Linked DNA regions of Struthio camelus. The protein of the gene in region 1 purifies or fractionates together with the protein of each later gene. This does not show direct contact. Links are inferred from orthologs where the notes say so. Each region holds a gene or a part of one and is shown on either strand. Other genes may lie near its edges.

Region 1 (8,212 bases):
GGGACGGACGAAGGGCAGAGGGGCCCAGGTGTCCGGCCACCCCCACCCCCAGAGCCTCTCTGCGAGGACCCAGGCGTCCGGACCCTGCCCCCCACCCTCACCGTCCTCCATGCCGCGCGGGCCCAGGCGTCCGGGAGGAGGCGGCCGCAGGGCGATGACCCCGGGAGAGGGGGGGGTGCGCAGACTTTGTCCCTGGGGCCGGGGTGGCAGCGACGCGGGCGGGGACAGGCCACGGGGACACCCCCCCCCCAGTATGGACCAGTATGGCCCATGCCCCCACCGGCCCCGATATGGGGGGAACAAGGGACTCTAGGGGATGTGGCACCGCTGTTAAGGACAGTGCCATCGGGGGACATGACACCGCCACGGGGGGACATGACACCGCCACGGGGGGACACACAGACCCCCAAACTGGTGTCCCCAGTGGCCACCAAGACCCCAAATCAGTGTCCCCTGAACGCACAAGCCCTGCTGATGTCCCCAGTGCCTGCAGGGACCCTGAAACTGGTGTCCCCAGTTCCCCCTGGACCCCCAGAAAGTGCTGGTGTCCCCAATGGCCACCGTGACCCCAAAACCAGTGTCCACCAGGACCCCCAAAACCAGTGTCCCCAGGACCTGCCTAGGCCCCCAGACCAGCGTCCCCAGTACCCTCCAATACTCCCAGACCAGTGTCCCCAGCACCCGCCTGGGCCACCAGACCAATATTCCCAGTGCGCCCCAATACCCCCAGACCAGTGTCCCCACCGTCCCCCAATACTCCCAGATCAGCATCCCCAGCGCCCACCTGGGCCCCCAGATCAACGTCCCCAGTACCCCCCAATACCCCCAGACTAGAGTCCCTAGCATCCACCTGGGCCCCCAGACCAGTGTCCCCCAATATCCCCAGAACCAGCATCCCCAGGACCCACCTGCCTGGGGCCCCAGACCAGCATCCCTAGTGTCCCCCAATACCCCAGAACCAGCGTCCCCAGTGCCCGCCTGGGCCCCCAGACCAGTGTCTCCAGTGTCCCCCAATACCCCCAGAACCAGCGTCCCCAGCATCCGCCTGGGCCCCCAGACCAGTGTCTCCAGTGTCCCCCAATACCCCCAGACCAGCGTCCCCAGTGTCCACCAATATCCCCAGAACCAGCGTCCCCAGCACCCGCCTGGGCCCCCAGACCAGCGTCCCCAGTGTCCCCCAATATCCCCAGACCAGCGTCCCCAGTGTCCACCAATATCCCCAGAACCAGCGCCCGCCTGGGCCCCCAGATCAACGTCCCCAGTGTCCCCCAATACCCCCAGACCAGCGTCCCCAGCACCCGCCTGGGCCCCCAGACCAGCGTCCCCAGTGTCCCCCAATACCCCCAGACCAGCGTCCCCAGCACCCGCCTGGGCCCCCAGATCAACGTCCCCAGTGTCCCCCAATACCCCCAGACCAGCGTCCCCAGCACCCGTCTGGGCCCCCAGACCAGTGTCCCCAGTGTCCCCCAATACTCCCAGACCAGCGTCCCCAGCACCCACCTGGACCCCCAGATCAACGTCCCCAGTGTCCACCAATATCCCCAGACCAGCGTCCCCAGCACCCGCCTGGGCCCCCAGACCAGCGTCCCCAGTGTCCCCCAATACCCCCAGACCAGCGTCCCCAGCACCCGCCTGGGCCCCCAGACCAGCGTCCCCAGTGTCCCCCAATACCCCCAGACCAGCGTCCCCAGTGCCCGCCTGGGCCCCCAGACCAGCGTCCCCAGTGTCCCCCAATACCCCCAGACCAGCGTCCCCAGTGCCCGCCTGGGCCCCCAGACCAGCGTCCCCAGTGTCCCCCAATACCCCCAGACCAGCGTCCCCAGCGCCCGCCTGGGCCCCCAGACCAGTGTCCCCAGTGTCCCCCAATACCCCCAGACCAGCGTCCCCAGCACCCGCCTGGACCCCCAGATCAAAGTCCCCAGTGTCCCCCAGTACCCCCAGACCAGCGTCCCCAGCACCCGCCTGGACCCCCAAAGCCTGCTGGTGTCTCCAGCACCCCGGGGACCCAGGCGTCCGGGCTGCCCCCCCGCTGACCTCGGGACCCGCGTGGGGGCGGGAGGAGGCGCCAGAGACCCCCCCGCCCCCGCTGCACCTGCCGAGCCCCGCCCCTTTCCCCAGGCCCCGCCCCATCCCCATGGCAACCCCCAACGTGCCCCGCCCCCGTCCCCATGGCAACCCCTGCGCGCCCCGCCCCTTCCCCCCCACCTCCGCCCCGTCCCCATGGCGACGCCCACGTACCCCGCCCCTTCCCCGCGCCCCGCCCCCGCGCCCCTGGCAGCCCCCGCGCGCCCCGCCCCCGCGCCCATGGCAACCCCTGGCATGCCCCGCCCCTTCCGCCAAGCCCCGCCCCCCCACCGTAACCCCCTCCCCCGGGGCAAACTGCCCCAGGGTCCCTGTGCCCTCCGGATCCGCCCCCGCCACCCCGGGGGTCCCTGCCCAGTCCAGCTCGGTTCAGCTCGGCTCCCCCCGATCCGGTTCGGCCTCCTCCCCCCCCCCCGGTGACCCCCGGTTGACCCGCGCTCAGCCTGGTCCCCCCCCCCGGTTCGGCCTGCTTCACCCCCGGCTCCAGCCCGGCCCGGTTCTCCTCAGCTCGGTGGCCCCCGATCCAGCTCGGCCCGCTTCCGCCGGTTCCGGTGCCCCTCCTCCCCGGTCCAGCCTAACCTAGGGCCCCCCGGGTCCAATTGCCCCCGACTCAGATCCCCTCGGTCCCACCCGGTTCCGCCGGGCCCGGCACCCCTCATGGTCCGGCCTGTCTCGATTCCGCCGGTCCCACTTCGTCCCAGCTCGGTCCCGCCAGATCCAGCTCGACTCGGTTCCGCCGGTCCCAGTTCCCCCCCAGCCCCGCCCGGTTCCCCTCCAGCTCATCCCCCTCCCCGGTCCAGCCCAGCCCGGTTCCGCCGGGCCCAGTTCCCCCCGGCGCAGCTCGGCCCGGCCCACCCTCGCCCGGTTGTCCCGGTTCGGCCCGGCTCGGCCTGCTGCCACCTGAGCCCGGTTCCCCCCGGCCCGGTTCCGCCCGGTACCCGCCGAGAGAGGGAGGGAGGGCGGCCGGCCCGGGGCGGCGCGGCGCCGGTACTCACCGCTCTCCAGCTCGCCGCCCTTCTTGGCCGCGGCCGCGTTGCCCATGTCGGGCCCGGCTCGGCTCGGCTCGGCTCGGCCCGGCCGCCCCGCTCCCCGGCGGACCGCCCCGCCCCGCCCCCCGCCGCCCATTGGCGCCGCCGCGCCGCCGGCGCCGTCCCATTGGCCGCTCGCCTCTGACGCCGCGCCTCGCGCGCCCGCCCCGCCGCAGCCATTGGGCCCGGCCGCCGCCGCCGCGCCGCCTTCCATTGGCTGTCCGGCCCGTCCCTCCGGCGCTCGGCCCGCCCCCGCCAGCCGCCCATTGGCTGCGGCGGGCTAAAAATAGAACCCGGGAGGGTTGGGGGCGGGGGGGGAGAGAAGGTCCATGGGAGGGGCGGGGCGTCAGCTGAGGGGGCGGGACCAGCGGTGATTGACAGTAAGTGGGGAGGGGCGTGGAGACAGCTGGGTACCGGGGGCGGGGCGATGGGAGGGGAGGGGCTTGGAGGGCCAGGCGGGTGGGGGGAGGGGCTAGGCGTCCCTCCCCCCCCCCCGCTTGGCGCACCTCCCCCACCTTCTTGCCCCACCCCCCGTCGGGTTTGGGGCCCAGGAGCCCCGAGGGGAGCGGGGCGGCCCGGGTTTCACCGTGGGGCTGCGCCTGCACCCCCACCCCCAGCCTGCATCAGCCCCCGGCAGCAGGGCGGGGCTTCCCGGCTCCCGTAGTGGCCGGCACCGCCTTGCCCCGCCCCCGCCGCCCCGCCCCGCCAATCCCCGCGCCGCCCGCCGCCGCCGCCGCCGGGAGAGGCGCGCGCCCGCCGCTTCCCCGCCTCCCGCTCGCGCGCCGCCGCCAATCGGCAGGCTCTTCCAGGCCGCCAATGGGGAGGGTGGAAGGGAAGCGGCTGCCCAATGGGAAGGGCGAGGGGGCGGGGCGAATGGCGGCCGGGGCGCGGTGCGGAGCGGCGCAGCCCCGACACGCGCATGCGCCATGAGCGGGCGCCGGGCCCCGGGCGCTGTTCGCGCATGCTCCCCGCGCATGCGCGCGCCCGGCCTTGCACACGCGGCCCTTGCACACTCGCCCCGGGGCTGCCTAGCCTTGCACGGGGGCTCCTGGCACACCGCCCTTGCACGCCCATCGTGCGCGCTCACGTTCCGGCTTTGCGCCAGAGCTCCTTGCACGCTGCTCCCTTGTGCCAGCTCCCTGTGTGCTGGTGCACCAGGCGCCTTGCACACTCAGCCCTTGCACGCTTACCCTTGCTTCTGTACCCAGCTTGCACGGGGCTCCTTGCACACTTGGCCCTCACAAACTTGCCCCAGATGCTCACAGCCCAGCCTTGCATGGGAGCTCCTTGCCCGCATGGCCCTTGCACACTCCCCCAGCCTACTCCCGCTCTCGCCTTGCACTAATTACTGGCACTAATTACCCCTCCCCCATTGTTGACTACAGACCCCCCCTCCCCAGTGAAGCCATTTGCATATGCTAATTATAAGCAGGGCTAATGATAGCCAGCAGCAGGGCTCTTCCTCATCCCCCCCTGCTGGCAGGGGACATGTGACCTACACGTGTGACCCTGCTCGTGCATGGCTGCATGCACATGTGTGTGATGGTGGTCACACGTGTGAGAGCCTGCTCACACGTACGTGGCTGCACTGACACACGTGTGATTGCACACACGCCTGTGTGGCAATCCGCCCACGCACGTGCAAATATGTTTTCATGACTATGTCATGCATGATGGGGGTCATGTGTGAGGGAGCGTGTGCACATGCGTGACCTTTTCTGTGCAGCAGTGCGCTCACGTGTCCGTGACCACGCTGGTATGAGTGCGAGCGCGCGCGTGCACGTGACACTGCTCGTGCGTGCACAGGGCCGTGTTCACATATGTGTGCGTGTGCCAGCTCACACACGTACACGCGTGTGCTCACGTGTGCGAGGCCCTGCTCAGGCGTGTGGCTGGCCGTGCTCACATGTGCGTGCGTGTCTGTGCTCACGCGCGTGTCTGTACATCGGGTGGGGCAGGGGCTGCCAGGACATCTGAGCCCCCTCCCCCAAAGGAGGAGGGGGGGCCTGCCCCTCCCCCGTTCCCGTAAGTCAGGCTGGACTCCGGGCGGGGGAGGGGGCGGGGCCTGCCCGTGACACCGGGGTGACCCTTGACCCCCGCCCTATCCAGCCCCCTCCGTGCTGTCTGTGAATGGCAGGCCAGGTTTTGCCCCTCACTCCATTCCCAAGGGTGGATCCAGGCCGGGTTTTACCCCCGCTCCCCTCCCAGGGCGGATCCAGGTCGGGATTTACCCTCCAGTCCCCTCCCAGGGGGTAGATCCAGGCCGGGTTTTACCCCCGCTCCCCTCCCAGGGCGGATCCAGGTCGGGATTTACCCTCCAGTCCCCTCCCAGGGGGTAGATCCAGGCCGGGTTTTACCCCCGCTCCCCTCCCGGGGGCAAATCCGCACCAGGTTTTCTGCCTGCCGCCAGGGCGGGAAGAGGCTGTTGCCCCGCACCGCTCCCCCCTCCCGCCCCCGTTACCGGCTTCCTCACACGGTAAACCCTCCCCCCACCACGTTACCGGGCACCTCACGTGATTGCCCCCCCCCTTTAACGATACCCTCATGCTCTTCCCTCCTCCGTAACGGTCCCCTCATCCTCCCCCCCATAACGGTCCCTGTAACGGTCCCCTCACACCCGCCCCCCCCATAACGGTCCCCTCATCCCCCCCTGTAAAGGTCCCTTCACACCCGCCCCCCCCCCATAACGGTCCCCTCACACCCGCCCCCCCATAACGGTCCCTACATCCCCCCCATAACGGTCCCTGTAACGGTCCCCTCACACCCGCCCCCCCCATAACGGTCCCTTCATCCCCCCCTGTAACGGTCCCCTCACACCCGCCCCCCCCATAACGGTCCCCTCATCCCCCCCTGTAAAGGTCCCTTCACACCCGCCCCCCCCCATAACGGTCCCCTCACACCCGCCCCCCCATAACGGTCCCTTCATCCCCCCCATAACGGTCCCTGTAACGGTCCCCTCACACCCGCCCCCCCCATAACGGTCCCCTCACCCCCTCCCCCATAACGGTCCCCTCACACCCGCCCCCCCCATAACGGTCCCCTCATCCCCCCCATAACGGTCCCCTCACACCCGCCCCCATAACGGTCCCCTCATCCCCCCACCATAACAGTCCCCTCACCCCCTCTCCCATAACGGTCCCCTCACACCCGCCCCCCCATAACGGTCCCCTCATCCCCCCCTGTAACGGTCCCCTCACACCCGCCCCCCCATAACGGTCCCCTCATCCCCTCCCCCATAACGGTCCCCTCACACCCGCCCCCACCATAACGGTCTCCTCACCCCCCCCCCCCATAACGGTCCCCTCACACCCGCCCCCCCCGCCCGGTACCGGCGGCCCTGTGGGCGGGGCCGCGCGGCGCCCCGCCCCCCGGTGAGTGACGCGGGCGGGGCGGGGCGGGGCGAGCGGTGCTCGCCGCGGGGGGGGGGGGTGGCGCTGCCGGGGGGGGGGCCGCGCCGCCCGCACCGCCCGCGCCGTCGCCGCATGGAGCTGCCCCCCCGGGCCCGCGCGCCCCCGCAGGTACGGGCGCCGCCGGGGCGGGGGGGGGCGTGCAGAGCCGGTGGGGGGGCGTGCAATGCGGGGGGGGCGCCGTGTAGACCCGGGGGGGATGTGCAAAGAGGAGGGGGGTCGTGCATCGCGGGGGGGGGGCGCCGTGCTGACCGGGGGGGTCGTGCGATGCGGGGGGGGGGGGACAGCCGGTGCGGGGCGTGCAATGCGGGGACCCGTGCGGGTTGAGCGACAGTGTGCAATGCGGGAGGGGGGGGCGCCGTGCAGAGCGGGGGGGGCTGTGCAAAGAGGGGGGGGTATCATGCAATACGGGGGGGGGCGTGCAAAGCGGGTGGGGGCACCGTCGGTGCAGGGCGTGTAATGCGGGGGGGGATTGTGCAATGAGGGGGAAGGCGCCGTGCAAACCGGGGGGGCACCGTGCAAACCGGGTGGGGGGCACTGTGCAATAAGGGGGGGCAGCGCCGATGCGGGGCGTACAATGTCGGGGGGGGGCGCATAGCAGACCGGGAGGCCGTGCAGTGCGGGGGGGGGGCCGTGCAAACCGGGGGGCGTCATGCAAAGTGGGGGGGGCCGTGCAATATAGAGGAGGGCATCGTGCAGTGGGGGGGCACCGTGCTGTCCGGGGAGCACCGGGAGATGCGGGGCGGGGGGCATGAAAACCAGAGGGGGGGGTCGTTCAATGCGGGGGGGGGCCTCCGTGCCATGGGGACCCGTGTAAAACGGGGGGGGGGCTAGCCAAGTCGGGGGAGCGGGGAATGGAGCCCCCCCCGGCCATCAGGAGTGCGGGGGGGGCCTGTGCAATGGGGGGGATTGCAATGGGAGGGGCGCGCAGTGCGGGGGGGCAGCGGGGAGGGCGCATATTCCAATGGGGGGGCTTATTTCGGCCCCCCCGGCCGACAGCTCGAGGAGGGGGTCTCTTCCCCCCCCGCAGCCCCTGGACCGGGGGGGGCACCGCCCCCCCCCACTGCAGCAGCGGGGCCGGGTGGGGGGGGGGGGCACCCCCGGTACCGTAATGTCTAGAGAGGCGGAGCCGTGAGACCGCTCCGGCCACGGTGAGGGGGGGTCGACGCCCCCTCCCGGTACCGTAATGTCTGGAGAGGCGGAGGCCCGAGATCGCTCCCGCCGCTGAGGGGGGGCGACTCCCCCCTCCCGGTACCGTAATGTCTGGAGAGGCGGAGCTTTTAGTTCGCTCCCGCCTCTGGGGGGTTTGTTCCCCCCCACCCCGGGTACCATAATGTCTGGAGAGGCGGAGCCATCAATTGGCTCCCGGCACTGGGGGGGGCGGGGGTCAGTCTCCCCCGGTACTGTAATGTCTGGAGAAGCAGAGCCCTGCGATTGCTCCCGCCAGCGGGATGGGCTGCTCCTCCCGGTACCGTAATATTTGGAGAGCGTGGTAGGGGCACGTTTGTCCTCCCGGTACCCTAATGTGTGGACAGCCTGGGGGGGGACGATCCTATCCCTCCTGGTACCATAATGTCTCGAGATGTGGGGCAAGCTGATTGTCCCCTGTGGGGCAGTGGGGGGGGGGGGGCTTCTCTTTTACCATATTGTCTCGAGAAAAGGAGCACTAGGAGCCCACTCCCCTGGGTGGGGACC
Region 2 (7,538 bases), on another chromosome or scaffold:
CAGAGAGTCTATAGAAAAAGCAGAAGCACATTGTTCTTTTCTCTCTTCTATGCTTTCTTTATTCTCTTTAAAAATTTTCTTCTCCAGTACATTTTCCAGCCCATCTGTAATATATTTAAAACAACACAACGGGTCTTAGATTTCAATACAAACAACTAAGAGACAGTGCACACAGGCAAAGTACAAAGTATATGTTTCTCTGTTTATCAACCAATAAATACTGACATATAGCCCCCTTAAGAATGCTACTGTTCTTCCTGTGTCAGCACATCAGCAAAAACGCTTCAACACTGTGTGAAGTAGAGAGAAAGGGATTTCAGCCTTCTACTTTTGGTAACACATGTTTTTGTTCAGTTGTAAGTAAAGGCAAATATGTGCAAAAAAAATTTCACATAGAGCGTTAGAAGTCTTTAGCCGTCACCTGAAGTTCACTATAGATAACAGTAACAACAAATGAACGTCAATGTAGATAAACAACGACAAATGACTTTCAATATAACCACATGGAAAACGAGGCAAAAAGGAGCAGAAAGGGAACCTTCCATTTACATATAAAAACAATGAGTTCTCAGATGACTATATCATTCAGGAACGAGATGATTACTCTCTTCCTCTTCTTGCAGATATACACAGCACGGTGTGCTACAGACAACAGTGATCTGAACCTGTGGTTCTAAAAAGTTAAATTTTAGCATTTAAGCTAAAAAAGGAACCAATGTAACTCACAATTCATTTTGCATGTATAAGGATTTATAGATATACACATACACAGATCTATCTTCTAGCAGTACCACAATTAAACTAAAAAGCTATAAAAAGTCCCTCTGCACTCCCTCAAAGAGTACTAACTATGCATGAGTCATTTCCATATATAACTTATACCTTAAAAAATAAAATACTAAAATCTCCTCTAGCATATTTCATAAAAAATTTGGACATAATCAGAGATCCAGCAATATTCCTTTGGGACAACTCCACAATGGGATTACTGTAGTGGAAGAAGCGTTACGTCAGAATTCAGTTTATCACAGGACAGCTCATTACTACAGACAATACACTTTCAAAGCTCCTCTTGTGACCAGTGCCGATATTCCAAATCTGCCCCAAGGGGAAAATCTGGCAGCAAAAGTGCGTATTATGTTCTCGTGGCATGCAAAACTACATTGCATGTATGCAATGGTACAGACTCAACCTGGGTTATTATCACCCTGGAGAGATTTCTTGCATATATCATTTTGTGCTAGGGAAGATAATTAATAGAACAATCTGATTAAGGGCTAACTCATTTCAGCCTGAAGTAGGGAGGCATAAATCACTCTGTGGTTGTAGCCTGACACCTCAAGTTATGCCAGAGGCTGTTAAAGAGAATAAGTATTTAGACTGGTTGCTAGTTCCCCCTGCAGACACTAAAGAATCATGCAGAACAAAGAGATTTTAAAGCAGCAATATATTTTTTGCCTAACATTTAGATTCAAATGCAGCTTACACAAAACAGATTAGAATCCCTCTATTGTTGCCGATTCACAAGCATACAGAAAATAACAATCCTTCCTTTAAAGAGATCACAATCTAAAAGACAAGACCAAATCCACAAAACAGACAAACAAGAAGGTCACTCTGCGGCAGTTACCAAAAAGATTCAGAAAGGCAAAACGATAGCCAGCTGAAAGCAAAAATCAACACTGAGGGTGAGGTTCAACATTGTGGGTTGAATCGATCTAACAGCTCACTGAGGCCAAAGGAGGTAGTCCTGCTCCCTTTCCCTGACCCCAGCCACATGCTGGTTAGTCTTCTGACTGCTTAAAAAGCTGAAAAACTCCGTCTGCTCACAGTAATAGCTTGGCATAGGAAGGGCACAGCTAGTATTTAACAACGGCCCTCCCCAAGTCAAGTACCTGAATTTAACAGGCACTGCTTCTAAATCCTACAGTCCCAAGGAAATAACTCCATCCCTCACCTTTTCTGAAATAAACTGTTTATGAAAGAAATCAGTAACAAAATTCAAAAGTTGTATTTTAGTCACTAAAACAAACCGAAAACAAGATTCTTCAAAAGTCTTGACATAATGTTGATAATACGAGACATAAGTAACAAAATCAGCTTCCATAGGAACTGTCTGAGCATTAAAACTGTCAAAAGATAAACTTACTTTTAATTCCATGACTAACTACATTAGCCTGAACTTCATATGTGAACAGGACTCTACAGTACTGTTATATTTGTATTTGCTTAAATGGTTGCTGTTTGCTTGAATATTTGAGTCCTCTGTTCCATTAGAATCAAGATACACCTAGTTCACAAATCAGAGAATAAAAAAATCAAGCAGCAGAAACGGCTGTCTTGCTTTTTAAAAGATAACTGATTGTACTCCTTTCCCAGCCTTTTGCCCTCTCAGATAAAACAGTCTTCTATTATTTGACATCTACACATTAGAGACTACAGTGAGGTTAGGTCTCCAGGCACTATTCCCTTATGTTTAATAACAAATGAATCTTTTGGAGACATTTTAACTGAAAGCTGCTGCAGAAGAAGACCGTTTTACTCTCCAGACATCTTGAACCGCTGGTGCTAGCAATAGCAATTACACAGCCAGAGAACTGACTCAGCTTAAAAAAACTTCCTCTAAAAAAAAAAAAAAAACTTTGGTAGGTTTAGTACTCAGCCAGATCGGATGCTTAAACTGACTGCAAGCCTGGGGACAGAGTACAGCAAGCACAGAAGATGAAAGCAGAAGCCCTTTTTAGCAACAGCCTACGACTGGACTGAGTCAATCTTCCCTGTGATCGCTACTACCACTGCTGCGAAATCTAGCTCCTCCTGGCGCTCAGTGTGAGGTGCGCAGGCATGCCTGTGCGCGCGCGCACACACGTCTTCGGATGAACTCCTCTGCACCATGTTTCACCTGGGTTTTAAAGCTGTGCGTAACTTGACCGTTACAAGGCGACGGCGCATTAACACACGTTAAAACCACTCCAGGTCACAGCTCGCCAGGACTTTCTGCTCCGCTGCGATCGGCAGACGGCTGCCATTAACGGAGGCACCGTGAGGGCCGGGAGCGCTTGCCTTGGACACAGGCCGGGCCACGCCACGGCACCTCCTCACGTCGGGCCCTGCCCGTGGCCGGGCCGGCGGCGGCGAGCCCGCGCCATCGCCGCACGCAGGGCCCCTGGCAGAGCCCCCCCGAGCCGCGCCGCCCTCCGGCGGCGGGGGGCGGGGAAGGGGCCTGGCGAGCGCGGCCGGCGCCGGCCTCCGTCCCCCCCGCGCCGCGCCGCGCCGCGCCGCGCCGCGCCGCGCCGCGCCGCGCCGCCCAGCCCGCCGCCGCCTCCTCCTCCTCACCGTGCTCGGGGGACTCGCCGGCTGCGCGCGAGGCGCCCGCGCCGCCCCCCGCTCCTGCCGCCGCCGGCCGCAGCGCCATGGGGCGCGGGCGCGCGGGCCGAGCCGGCGGGGCGAAGAGGGCGGGAGCCGGCGCCGCGGCCCGCGCGGGGCAGAGCGCCGGGAGCAGCCGCCGGGAGCAGCCGCCGGAGCAGCCGCTGCATGCCCCGGTAACGGCAAGCAGGCCGCGCCCGCCGGGCGGCGACGGGGCGCGACAAGGGCCAAAGGCCGCCACGGCGCCTGTCGGGCAACAGGCGGCGAAAGCCCCGGGCGGCAGCGCGCGGAGGGAGGCCGGGCGCCCCGCGCGGACCACAAGCCCCAGCATGCCGCGCGCGCGGCGGCCCGCGCGGGGCACGGCGGGAAGGCGGCGCGGCGGCCGCGGGGCGGGTTCGGGGATCGGCGGCGGCGGCGGCGGCGGCGGTGTCTCGGCCGCGGGAGGGGGTGCGGGGCCCGGCTGAGCGCCCAGGGCCCGGCCCGGGCCCGGCCGCGACGGGCAGGCGCAGCGCCTGGAGGCCTGGGGCCGTGGCGGCTGCCGTGCGTGCGGCTGGGCCCCACCTAGGCCCCGGGGGAGTTTGGCCCTCCCTTCGGCGCGTACGTCCTGCCCGTGAAGGGGGGGAGGCGGTGGACGCTGATCCACCAGAGCCGGGCTGCCTTGGCCACGTCTTGGGCAGATTCCCTACCCTTCCTCTTTCCGTACCTTAAACTCCATAGCGTTTTTTTTTTTTTTTTTTTTTTTGGCTGAGCCATCCTATACCCAGTTGAAGGCATCTAGATATTGTGCACTGAAACAGGAAATATATATTTTTTCCGTGCGGAATTTAAACAAAATTTTTACTGCATTCTGCTAAACAGAATGCCCATAACTAGTCAGAGTATTTTGAGGTGATGACTCTTCAAATTAACCACTTGCACCTTAGGACTACTCAAAGAACTTTACAAACCAAAGCAATGATTTCCATCCTTTTAGCTGTGGTCCAGGGAGAACAGATAGTCTTGCATTAAACATCCATCCTTTATGTGGTCATCCAGCCTTCTAACATAGCTCTGGGCCACTCTTACCATTGGCAATAATGCTCCTACTGTGACTGCACAATCTCCTATTGGGAATGAACCTTTTGGGTGTACGTGAGAGGCTGTTTCTCTGAGGCAAAGGAATGCAAGACACTATTTTCCTACTTAAATAAAGACTTTGTGCCTCTTGGAAGCCAAATTCTGTTTCTACATTCTGTGGAAGAAGCCAAGCCAAATGTTGCCTTGTGTTTCTGCAGATCAGTCTCTGCATATAGACCAGATCTGAAGGAGCTGATTGTTTACATGCATATACAAATCCTTACTTTCACTTTTAAAGGGAGTAGGGATGGCAAAAAAAAAAAAAAGCCACAGAAGGGAGGAAGCTGCATGCACAAGCTGCATGTTACAAGCATTTATGTGTGAGTTTCTGTGTTTGGCTTGTCTATGCATTCCCCTTCTGGAAGATAAAATCTGTCTGGGGGTATCTCACTGCTAGTTTGGCCTATTTCATGTTGCATTTGCCTTCACTGTCTTTCACACATGAATTTGGTCTGCACAGACCTATGGAGCCCAAAGACTGGTTGTGACACAGAAATCAAAGTTCTGTGTAATCTGACAGAAGCTTTAGTTAGGATAAGGCTGATGGCAATTTTCCATATTATGTGTTTCACCTAAATATCAGCTATCCTTAGGAAACTAAATGTTTTAAGTGGTCATCTCTTGAGTGAGTAAAATATGTCAATAAAAATTTGATTCTATGAAGTTATAGATCAAATAACAGGATAAACTTTTGGTATTAGATGTCTTTGTAGAAATACAAATTTAGAAAATGGTTTTGGATCTGAAACTGCTCCCAGTCAAATCACTAGGTATTTTGCTGAAATCTTCAGCACACTCTAATAAGAACATTTCTGTTTGTATGGTTGACAGGGCAGTACAATGCAATATTTAGATAAGTTAGCATTTAATATTCCTCATAGCAGTGGAGGAAAACATAATGCATTTTTAGCAGAACTAAAATTATACCTAGCCAATACCCACTAACATAGCACTAATTTGTTGATGTATCCTTTGGGTTCATAAGATGGCTGAATAAACCTTTTCAGGAAGTGAGAAATTAAAAGCACATTAGCTGGAGCTGATAATTGTTATCATGAATTATTCCTACAAGTCATAGAAGTGGCTGTGAGGAAAAATTCTCATCTGAAGACTGTAAAGCTAAATAACAAGCACTGATTTTTCTGCCTGCCCAAATACAGCACAAGTTTAGTGGTCACTGATCAGGTGCCTCATTGAAGCAAACCACACAGGTTTTTATCACTGCTTAAGTTTGCATTAAAGCCAGCACTTTATCAGTTTTACTCTGGTCTTGCCTTTATTAAGAGTTTCTGCTTAAGTTTTCAGTGAGACAGTTTTCCCTTTGAGGAGACAAAATTCAGAACTCCCAATGAAAGCTGAGTGACACTAACAGAAAGAGGAAGCACAGCCAGCCCTACCAATGTATTTGCTTAGTACAACCACACTGCCCATGCCTGTAAGCATCTCACCCATCTTATTGTTTCTTAATTCACCTGGTAATTTCAATCAAATTTGGCAGAGAGTAAGAGGACCCAGAGGAGGATGTTCCCATACCTTTCCTGAAAATGAGTGGTTAGGAAGGAGAGAGACACTCATAGGGAGAAGAGAGAAACAACACTGCCTGTCTGTGTTCCAGTAAACCGTGGCTGGCCATGAGTATTGATCAGCTTTTTAGGTCACAGGTAAGCAGTCGCAAAACATTACCTCTTATCTCAGCCAAGCAAGAGATATGGGGGAGCTAAGGGTATCTGGGGCACAACTGACTTGCGGGAGGTTAGGAAATAAAGGGACAGGAACTGGAAGATTCTATTACAGGAAGATCTAAATGTTGGAAGAGAACATTGGGATATTTTGTGGAATGTGGGACGGAGTTGAGGATATTCTAAGGCATGGACAGTATAGGGGAAGCTTGAGTTATTGTGACAAGAAAGGAGGACATATTTGGTATGAAACAAGGCTTTGTTACTATTGCTGCTGACACAAAAACTTGTTTTCTGACAAATGAAGAAGAGGAATTGAGCATGATCTGATAATAATAAGAATTTACTACAGAACAATGAGAAGTGTAAGCTGCAGAACTACAGATACCAGAAAATGAAAGGTAGTGGAGTGCCTGACATAAAGTAATTTAGTGTGAGATCGAAAAGCAAATATTGCTAGGGTTTCTGCAGTAACCAGTGTGAATGGAAGAAGAGCATGAAGATGCTATCGGTTGTAGTTTAATGTTTAATTGGCGTCTAACATGAATATGAAAATTAATGTGGAAAATATTAGCATGTGTGGATATTTTCATGATCTGTTAATGATAAGCAGTTCGTTTATATTGCAGGAGGGGAGAACAGAATGGAGAATCCACTGAAAATTTGATTATCCAGAGCAGCAGTTCTTAACTTGCTACCATTTGGATGAGAGCCACTGCCTAAAGATCAGCATGCATACTCAAATACCATTAATGTCAAGGCATTGTTTCAGACACTTCCAAGTTTCTTCCCACAGATACATATCCTTCTCCTTTTTATGTAGTGCCCACCTATCAACATAAAAGTATCTTCCCACATTTGCTGTCCTAAAGTTTACCTGACTTTTCAATCCTCTTCTTCCAGCCTTTCTCCTTTGTTGAATATCTATATAGAAGCAGAAGTAGACACTACCATATGGTCTTTTTGTTTTACTATTCCCTGTTGCCTGGCTGAGCTCGTTTCTTCTTTTCCAAGTGATGGAAAAGGATTTTAACTTCACTGTCATGTCTCTCATTCAAGGGCTTTATTTGACAGGATATGGAGTTACAGCTCCACAGGTCCTCTGCTGTCTATGGGCAGTGAAAGAAATTGGTGAGAAAATGCTGCTTGCTCACAGGAGCTGTGGTCATATCGCACATGGCCTGTTCCTAAGGACAGCAAATACTGGCCCCAGAGTGTGCTTTTAGCCAGTAGGCCAAAGTCTGGGAATCTGTTACATTTTGAATCAGACTGTTAACATTTTGTTGCTTATTATGGACATGGTGATACTGACATGGGAGACCCAGAGTGGATTAGGAGCTCTGGGGACTAGGGTGAAAGGCAACAAGGCCCAAGTGG
Region 3 (7,704 bases), on another chromosome or scaffold:
GACTTTTAGTTACCTGAATCCTGTGAGCAGCTAAAACCTGTGTCTCCTGTGCTGCTGCTGTTTCCTAATGGCCGTCCACCTGCCATGAGGGCAGTGAGATGGGGAGATAGTCCCAAATCTGCAAAACAGTTTAATCCTCATCACACACTGGATGCTTAGGGTGTCTACAATAGTAAAAAGCTCTTCCAGCAATACCCAGTCTGTCGCCTTATTTACCCTTCTCTCCATAAAACTTACCCCACTGATCCCAGGGTACAGCAAGCATTTGGACTTTCCATCTTAGAAACCCAGTCAGAAGCTTTCATGTACCCTTGGAGTACTGTTATATGGCAAGTCTCCTTTCTATCTATGCCATCTCCTTCCCACTCTTTTTGCAATTGCATGTATTTATCAGCAAGCCAGGCTGAACGTAGAGCAGACATGCGCTATGGTGACAGACACCTCCTAGCCAGAGAACAAACTGATAGCCATGCGCAGCTGTGACAGACCATTAGCGTAGCAGCAAGGTCACTAGTGAGACTGGGGCACTGAGATGCCTGCCTTCTTTCACATCCCCAAAACAGGAAGGGAGGAGATTCTAGGATTGTGGCAAACGCGCTGTCTTTGGATCCTGCTTAAGGACTTTGTGGTTTTTTTCCTCTCAGCCTCCACTTGCTACACCTGATAAATTTGAAGCTGTCAGTTTCTTGTCACTTGGAAAGAGAAAGAAACTTTGTCTTTTCCCTCCCAACTCAACTCAGTTTCCAATGAATTCATCCACAACATCTCCCAGATACAGATTTGCTAAAGGGAGGAGTGTTAGCAGCTGGTGATGTGGCTGCAGCTGCAGAACTCTTTCATTTACGTGGAGTCTCTCCCAGTGATTCCAGGTTGCAGAAAAGATAACGGATGCCTTGCTGCTCTTCCCTCCCTTTTACATTTTAGATCTTCTTTCCCAATTAAATACCTTCAGTTCCTGCCTCTGCAGGCAATGTCCCAAGGAACATCGTGATGTCCTAGATTTGGGGAGCTTCGGAGCATTCTGAATAAGATCAGGAAAACGATCAGAAATCACAACTTCATTGGGCTACAACTTAAAAACCCTCTGAGCAGCTGAATAGTCATTGGAGCTCTTGGCCTGCAACGCAGGAAGGCATCTAATGGGATGGTTTTTCTCCAGTTACAGTATTTCCTTCACAACCATTAAGACTAAAAACTGAATTTATAGAAATATTAAGACCAATGTAACCTCAGTAAAGTTCAGAGAGTCACAGCATAAAGCCAGGAATCAGAGCACGAGTGCCACAGGATATATTATTCATAGTGCTCAAATTTGGATACCACAAAATACTAATAAGCACAGATGAAGAGCTGGAGAGAGAAAAGAAGTAATTTTTATTAATCTCATCACTATGTCTTCTCTGGGAAAATTTATTACTAGAGTAAGAGAGATTAACTCCCACAAAAATCAGCCTCCTTCCAAGCGTCTATAATAATTTGAACAAAAGACCCCTGAAACCTCCAGGAACATTGTTTACAGAGCCTCGAGACACGCCACGTACACATAGACACCAAGTACTGTTCTTGCTAATACTAAGGAAGAGTGTCTTTCATAACTACGTCTTACCTGTGATCCTATTGGAAATGCTAAATAGCCTTGATGTCCTATGCCGCTGAACAAAGGACTCGCGGTAATACCGATCCCCAAAGCACATTCCTAGTAGTTCCTTGCGTACCGTTTTGTTCCAGAGTCCATAAATCAGTGGATGGCAAATGGCACTGGAAAAGGACAACCACGTAGCCAACGTCTCCCAGGCAGGGGAAATACTATTTTTTCCCCAAAGCGCCTCTGACGTAATTACTACCATGTAAGGCCCCCATGTAATCACAAAAGCACCGATGACAACCAAGATGGTTATGAAAGCTTTGCACTGGTTGGCAGAGTAGACAACTCCTTGGAAAGCATTCCTTCGGCTGCCTGAAGAGGACGTGGAGGTGCTGGAGTTCTTCCTCCCATTCCTCTGCGAGTCTTCCTCCACAATAACCACGCTACCACAGTGGATTTTGCGGGCTTTAATCCTAGCCACACGGAATATGAATCCATAGCAGATCATCATGACCGAGAAAGGCAGCAACGCACACCAGATCTGCCAAAAGGCAGTGTAGCCAGCCTCTTTATGCCAGGCTGCCACGCACATCCATTTGAACTGGTCAAACTCCAAAGACGACCAGCCAAAGAGGGGAGGGAGACAGCCAATAAGGGAATGTAGCCACACGTATACAAGAGCTACCACTGCTCTGTTGCCTGTAATCTTCATTGGGTAAACCATTGGGTATAGGACAGCATAGTACCTGGTGGACAAAAAGCAAGAGTCAATAGGAGCACACAAAAAGTACAGTAAAAAAGGAACATATTTTAATGGTATTGATATCTAGTCACCTTTGCAGAACAAGCTCTTCTCTCCAAACCTCAAAGTGGGCTCAGGGGCCCTGTTATAAACAGTTTTATTTAAGAATCCGCATCTTTGCGGGCAAGACTGTGAAAGTCACCTGAAGGCACAAACGCAGCTATTAACTCTGTCTCTCTGCGTGAGTGCACGCTTAGCCTATATTTGGAATTGTGTTTACTTACTGTTTCTCAAGTAATATGTTATTATACCATAAACAGCTCTAAACAAACTCTAGATGCATGAAAGCATTTTGCATTATCGAGGACAGCACTTTCTTCCATTCTGTGTCAAAATCTCATGGGGGAGGGGTGAATTAAATTAATGGAAAGTCATTAAAATGTTATGTATGGTCATCCACTGCAGTGCTTCTCAACCCTGTGAACAGCCAATAAGTCATTCTATGAAACGACTAGACAATTTGTTTTCACTCACTGTAAAAGCGCTGCTTACCGGTCTATAGCTATGAGTCCAAGAGTGAGCATGCTGGCTGAGCTGATCAGCATGTAGAGCAGTGCTGAAAAGTTGCACCAAACAACTCCAAAGATCCATTCCCGCCTGATGGAGCTGGTGACAACAAAAGGTAGTACCAGTACAGAGAGGAGAAAGTTGGAGAGGGTCAGGCTGAACACAAACTTGTTGCTCAAAGTGAGAAGGTAAGACTTCCGGTAGAGGGTGACGACAATCACCAGGTTGCCCAAACAGATGAAAATGGCAATGACAATTATAGCAATAGACTCGGTGACTCTGACAGCCCCGTTTTCCAGCGTGGTAAGGTTCCTCAGGCCCTTCACATTGATGAGGGAGGAGTTGCTGCTCATTGTCAGAGCGCGCAGAGCTGGAGCAGCCAAGACATGCTGAGGAGCTAGAAGCAGAACAACAACACTCAGAGACATTCAGGCAAGATTTCCTCACCTCCTCTCCAAAGATCAAGGGCTCTTTTACTCGCATTAATTAAACTTTACCTGTAGGAGACAGCAAATCGTTTTGGATGGGAAAACAAAGGGGCAGGAAATTGCCCATAGGCACGCCAAAGAGGTCAATGATAGAGTTAAATCTAGAAGAGGGGAGAAACTGTCTGAAAGACAGAAAGAGTTGGATGGAGAGGGACGGAGGAAGGAAGAAATAAAGAAGAAAATTAAAACATTTAATATTTTTGTAGGGATCTTACTTGCTTCTAAGCACTGATCAGCCATACTTACCAGCTGTACATCTCACTCAGTCCCTTCATCTAGGCTGTGAAGAAACAGGAAGAATGTAACAATTAGTCTTTGTTTCTCTCAATTTTAAAAAAGTCTTTTTTTTTCCTGTCTGCTTATCCCGACATTGCATTCTGCCTAGGTAGCAACTGCTATTCAGTGGTCTGTGGATGCCTGGCTAGTCATACCCTGCTGACTCTTAACGGTTGCTAGGTAACATTCAAAGAATCTGGGAGCACTGCAACATATTCTCCTAATGTCACTTCTCCATGTACATAATCACCTTAGCTACCACAGTGATCACTGCTCAACACCCATCCCCCTGCCTCATAACCTCAGTTTTGTGAGAGCTCAGTATTCCCCCCGGTTCTGCAGCAGCCTTCTGCCTGCTGTCTACCACAAGCATTCCTAATAGCTTAATTCAATCTTTCACCCATCTGCAGACCAGCACACTGAAAAAACACCAAAAATGCATGTGTGCAAACCGAACAACCAAAAAAAGCGTGCAACAAATAAAACGAAGTTCATCTTAACATTTCTTGGAAATCAGCGGCCCACTGAGGGTATCTCGGCTTTGCCCATCCATTGTTCCCAAATCACCAGGAGTACTGAAGAACCTCTTCCATCCGTGAGGTTGTTATGGCCTTAAGCAACACTGTCAGGCTGCAGAGATGTATTTTTTTCAATTTTTATCTGTGCCTTCCTAAGAGCCTAATTGAAGACACTACTGAGCCACGCTTCGTAAAATCTAGCTTAACTCTTCTCTAGTGAAACTGCCGACTGTGCGTAATAGCGTTTCTCTTAAAGTTTATCTTTAAAATATGGCTGCAGCTCACTTGTGAGTCTTTCCAACACCTTTTAAAGAGGCGCGGATTCTAGAAAGGAGGCTATCCGAGAGTGGCCACAGCCTCCAGCAACACCCAGGTCACGCGCTCCTACCCTTCCCCTCAGAGTTGCATCTAATCCTGCTTTACCCAAAGGCGGGGTGGGGGGATGCCCAGCAAACGTGCCCATCAGCCAGGAGGAAACAGTTAAGCAGAACGGCCAAAGGGCCTGGCTCTGTGAGCCCCAGCTCAGACAGGGGCAATTGCTTGGTGGGACAAGCAGGGGCTGGGGCGGGGGGGTGTCTCTTTGCCCAGGGCCAGCACTGCTACCAGTGCCAACCGCACACTGGCCACTGGGCTGGACGGCCGGCCACCGGCTGAACCCCTCTCCGGGAGAGAAAGCAGCAGGGAGCAGGCATGCTGACACACACGCACGACAGAAAGCCAGCGCTGCTTCCCTGATTAAAACCATGTGCGGGGTTGCGGCACCAGCTGGCGAGAAAATGGGGGGGGGGGGGCCGCGCCGAGCGGGGCACTACTTTGTTTAGCGCAGCCCGCCAGGGTTAGGCGAGCAGAGAGCGAGGCAACATCTCCGCGGAGCCCTACCGAGGCGAGGGCCGCCGCCGCGGGGCCCGCGGGATGCCGCAGGGCCGGCAGGCAGGGCAGGTGGCGGGAAGCAGCCCCGACTCCGGGCAGGGCTCCTCACGGCCCCCTCCGCCGCTGCCGGGAGGCTCCGGGAAAAAGCCTCCATTTTACCCCCTCCAACGACAACAACGGGCCGAGGTGGGGAGGGGGAGGGGAAGAGCACCCTCCACCGGGCCGGGCATCCCTCAGCCCGCCTCGTCTCGCCCGCCCCCTCGGCGGAGAGCGGGGTCCCCGCCCCGCTGCCACCGTAACGGCCGCTCCCCTCCCCTCCCCTCCCCTCCCCCCCTCGCCAAACCCCGTAACGGCCGCCGCAACGGCCGCTCCCCGCCCCGTAACGGCCGTTGGCCCGGGCGCGCGCGCCCGCTGCCCGGCAACGCACTCACCGCCCCGCCGTGCCGCGCCCGCCGCCGCCGCCGCCAGGGCGGGACGTTTCGGGTTACAGCGCCCCGGGCCCCCCGCAACCGCCGCCGGCGGGAGAGAGGCCCCGAGTCGCGGCCCGACCCTCCCCCCGCCATGCCCAAGCCCCTGCCTCCTCCCCGCCGCGGCGGCCCCCTCCCTTCGCCTTCCCCTCCCCTCCCGCTCCGCCTCCCTCCATTTTCTCTCTGCCCCCGTCCCTTCTGTCCGGGCTTCCCCGTCACCTTCGGGAGCGCTTCCTCCTCGGCGGACTCTCCCCTCGGCCCCATCCCGCTCTGCGGCTGGGGCCGCAGGCGGCAGCCAGCGGGGCCGCTCTTACCGCCGTAAGCCCCGGTGGGCAGCAGTCTGTGGGCGGGGAGCGCCCGCACCCCGGCCCGTTTGAACACCCACCGTCAGGAGTCGGTTAGACGAGCTGCCTCTCCAAAAACGGGTCGGGTCCGGCTGACCTCAGCTCGTCCCTCCGGCACCACTTGCTCTGAATCAACTGTATCTGCGTTTGGGGAGAGAGCGGCCTTCTAGCAGGGCCGTTTATCTGCTGTGCTGCCTTGGGAAAGCAACACAAATGCCCTGCGAAAGGGGGACAGTTACCAGCTACCGCGCAGGTTGGTCCTAAGGCACTCGAATCAAGTCTGTGCTATGTCAGACCTCTTTACAGCCTTCATCCATTTTATTTAAACCCTCGGAGGTTCAGTCGGAAGGAATCAATTTTTACACAGATCAGCAGATGAAATGACTTGCCCAAGCACACAGAACAAGTAAGTGGCACAAAGGGGGACACGTTCCTAGACTTCCCAGACCATAAGAGACTTTTAAAAGAAATACAGGTGTCTTACCAGGGTAAATTTGGGGGGGGGTGCCTTTTTTCAGGAAGCAAGGCACAGACAGTGCAGCGTAAAGGACCAAGGGTAATTAAATACCATTTTTGTGCATTCCTAAGTCTGAGCTTCTCCAAATCCTGGCAAGGCCGTTAGTGCTCCACTGTGACTGCTCTGACTAAGTCACAGCTTTGCTGTGTAATTTAGAACTTTTTGTGGCTCTGTTAATTTAGAACAGATAATAGTTCTTAGATAGATATAGTTCTTTGCATTACATGTGGCATGTTGCCATGGCTGTTCTCTTGGCTTGCCATGACTCTACGGTCTTCCAAAAGACCAAGTAGGACTATCATTCATGCTCACATGCTACAGCAATTTCCTGGGGAGTTAGTCTGTCCTTTTGATGACACACAAACACAACATGAGCATCCAGCCATCCACGCTGAAACGATAGAAGATTTTAATCCGCTCTGTCACTCCTTTCCTACAGGATTTTAGGTTCACAATACTATCATATTTTGTTTGACGTTCTTTAAAGATCATCTTTGGACTGCAATCAGGAGCAGCTCAACCCAGCGCAGGAGACTGCAGGCGTACGTACGTATGTAACACACACAAAACGCAAGGTGTGCGTCTGCAGCAGCAAAAGACAACTAGTGACGTTTCAGTCGGCGGCTGAAGCTGGGCTTCGCGGGACGCTTACCTGAGCTCGCTGCCCGCCCGCGCCTAACCATCTGCCCGGCTGCACTCCGCAGCCACCCGCCGCCCCCCGGCGGCGATGCAGGTCCCCGCGAGCACGGGGCGAAGCTCCCGCCCCCGTCATGGCGCCCAGCCCACTGTCACGTGACACCCCACCCCTCCCCGCCTGCAGCGCCTTCCGGGGCTGCGCGCGCAGCAGCCCGGAACCGGAAGTTGACGGAGGTGTTAGCGGCGTCGTTACCGTTAGTGGCGTCCGGCTGGAGTGGAGCCGTCGCCTCCTCCGTCCCCGGCTGCCTTCTCCTCGGCGGGGCCACATCTCCCCCACCCACCCCCCCCCGCTGCCGCCATGCACCCCGTTTTCCAGAGCAGCCGCCGTGACTTCACTTTCGGGCCCTGGAAGCTGAGCGCTGCCCAGACGCACATCATGAAGTCAGCGCAGGCCGAGAGGTGAGGCGGGCCGGGGCGGCGGGGAGCCCGCCGGGACCTCGCTCCCCGCAGGCGAGGCGCTTGCGGAGCTGTGGCCTAGGAGATAAATAATGCTCCTTTGACGGGGGAAGGCGGGCCTTTGCTCCCACCAGCAACTCCTTCTTTTTTTTTTTTTTTCCTTCGTTTTCTCTCCTTCTGCCAGTGTAAGCTTGCTGTTTTGGCTGGAGAAGTGGGAATGGTTTGGTTTTCAAATCTG

What was found. Proteins that work in one complex are often made in the same cells at the same time.
Region 2: the proteins of cAMP-dependent protein kinase catalytic subunit alpha (region 1) and AKAP7 purify together in Homo sapiens (affinity purification with mass spectrometry; 4 studies listed by BioGRID and IntAct, with this or other methods). This does not show direct contact. The link is inferred for Struthio camelus from reciprocal best matches to the Homo sapiens genes PRKACA and AKAP7.
Region 3: the proteins of cAMP-dependent protein kinase catalytic subunit alpha (region 1) and GPR161 purify together in Homo sapiens (affinity purification with mass spectrometry; 3 studies listed by BioGRID and IntAct, counting the BioPlex papers as one, with this or other methods). This does not show direct contact. The link is inferred for Struthio camelus from reciprocal best matches to the Homo sapiens genes PRKACA and GPR161.

Annotation. Positions count from the first base shown.
Region 1 is NC_090972.1:4,065,206-4,073,417, forward strand, and holds the start of cAMP-dependent protein kinase catalytic subunit alpha, read right to left. Parts: upstream 3,199-8,212; 5' UTR 3,124-3,198; coding exon 3,078-3,123; intron 229-3,077; exon of another isoform or gene 112-228; coding exon of another isoform or gene 102-111; intron 1-101.
Region 2 is NC_090944.1:71,235,409-71,242,946, reverse strand, and holds the start of AKAP7 (A-kinase anchoring protein 7), read right to left. Parts: upstream 3,433-7,538; 5' UTR 3,416-3,432; coding exon 3,337-3,415; intron 3,193-3,336; exon of another isoform or gene 2,903-3,192; intron 105-2,902; coding exon 1-104. UniProt on the Homo sapiens protein: Probably targets cAMP-dependent protein kinase (PKA) to the cellular membrane or cytoskeletal structures.
Region 3 is NC_090942.1:97,614,864-97,622,567, reverse strand, and holds the start of GPR161 (G-protein coupled receptor 161), read right to left. Parts: upstream 3,433-7,704; 5' UTR 3,323-3,432; coding exon 2,880-3,322; intron 2,332-2,879; coding exon 1,607-2,331; intron 119-1,606; coding exon 14-118; intron 1-13. Other genes in the region: TIPRL (TIP41-like protein), read left to right, coding at 7,369-7,469. UniProt on the Homo sapiens protein: Key negative regulator of Shh signaling, which promotes the processing of GLI3 into GLI3R during neural tube development.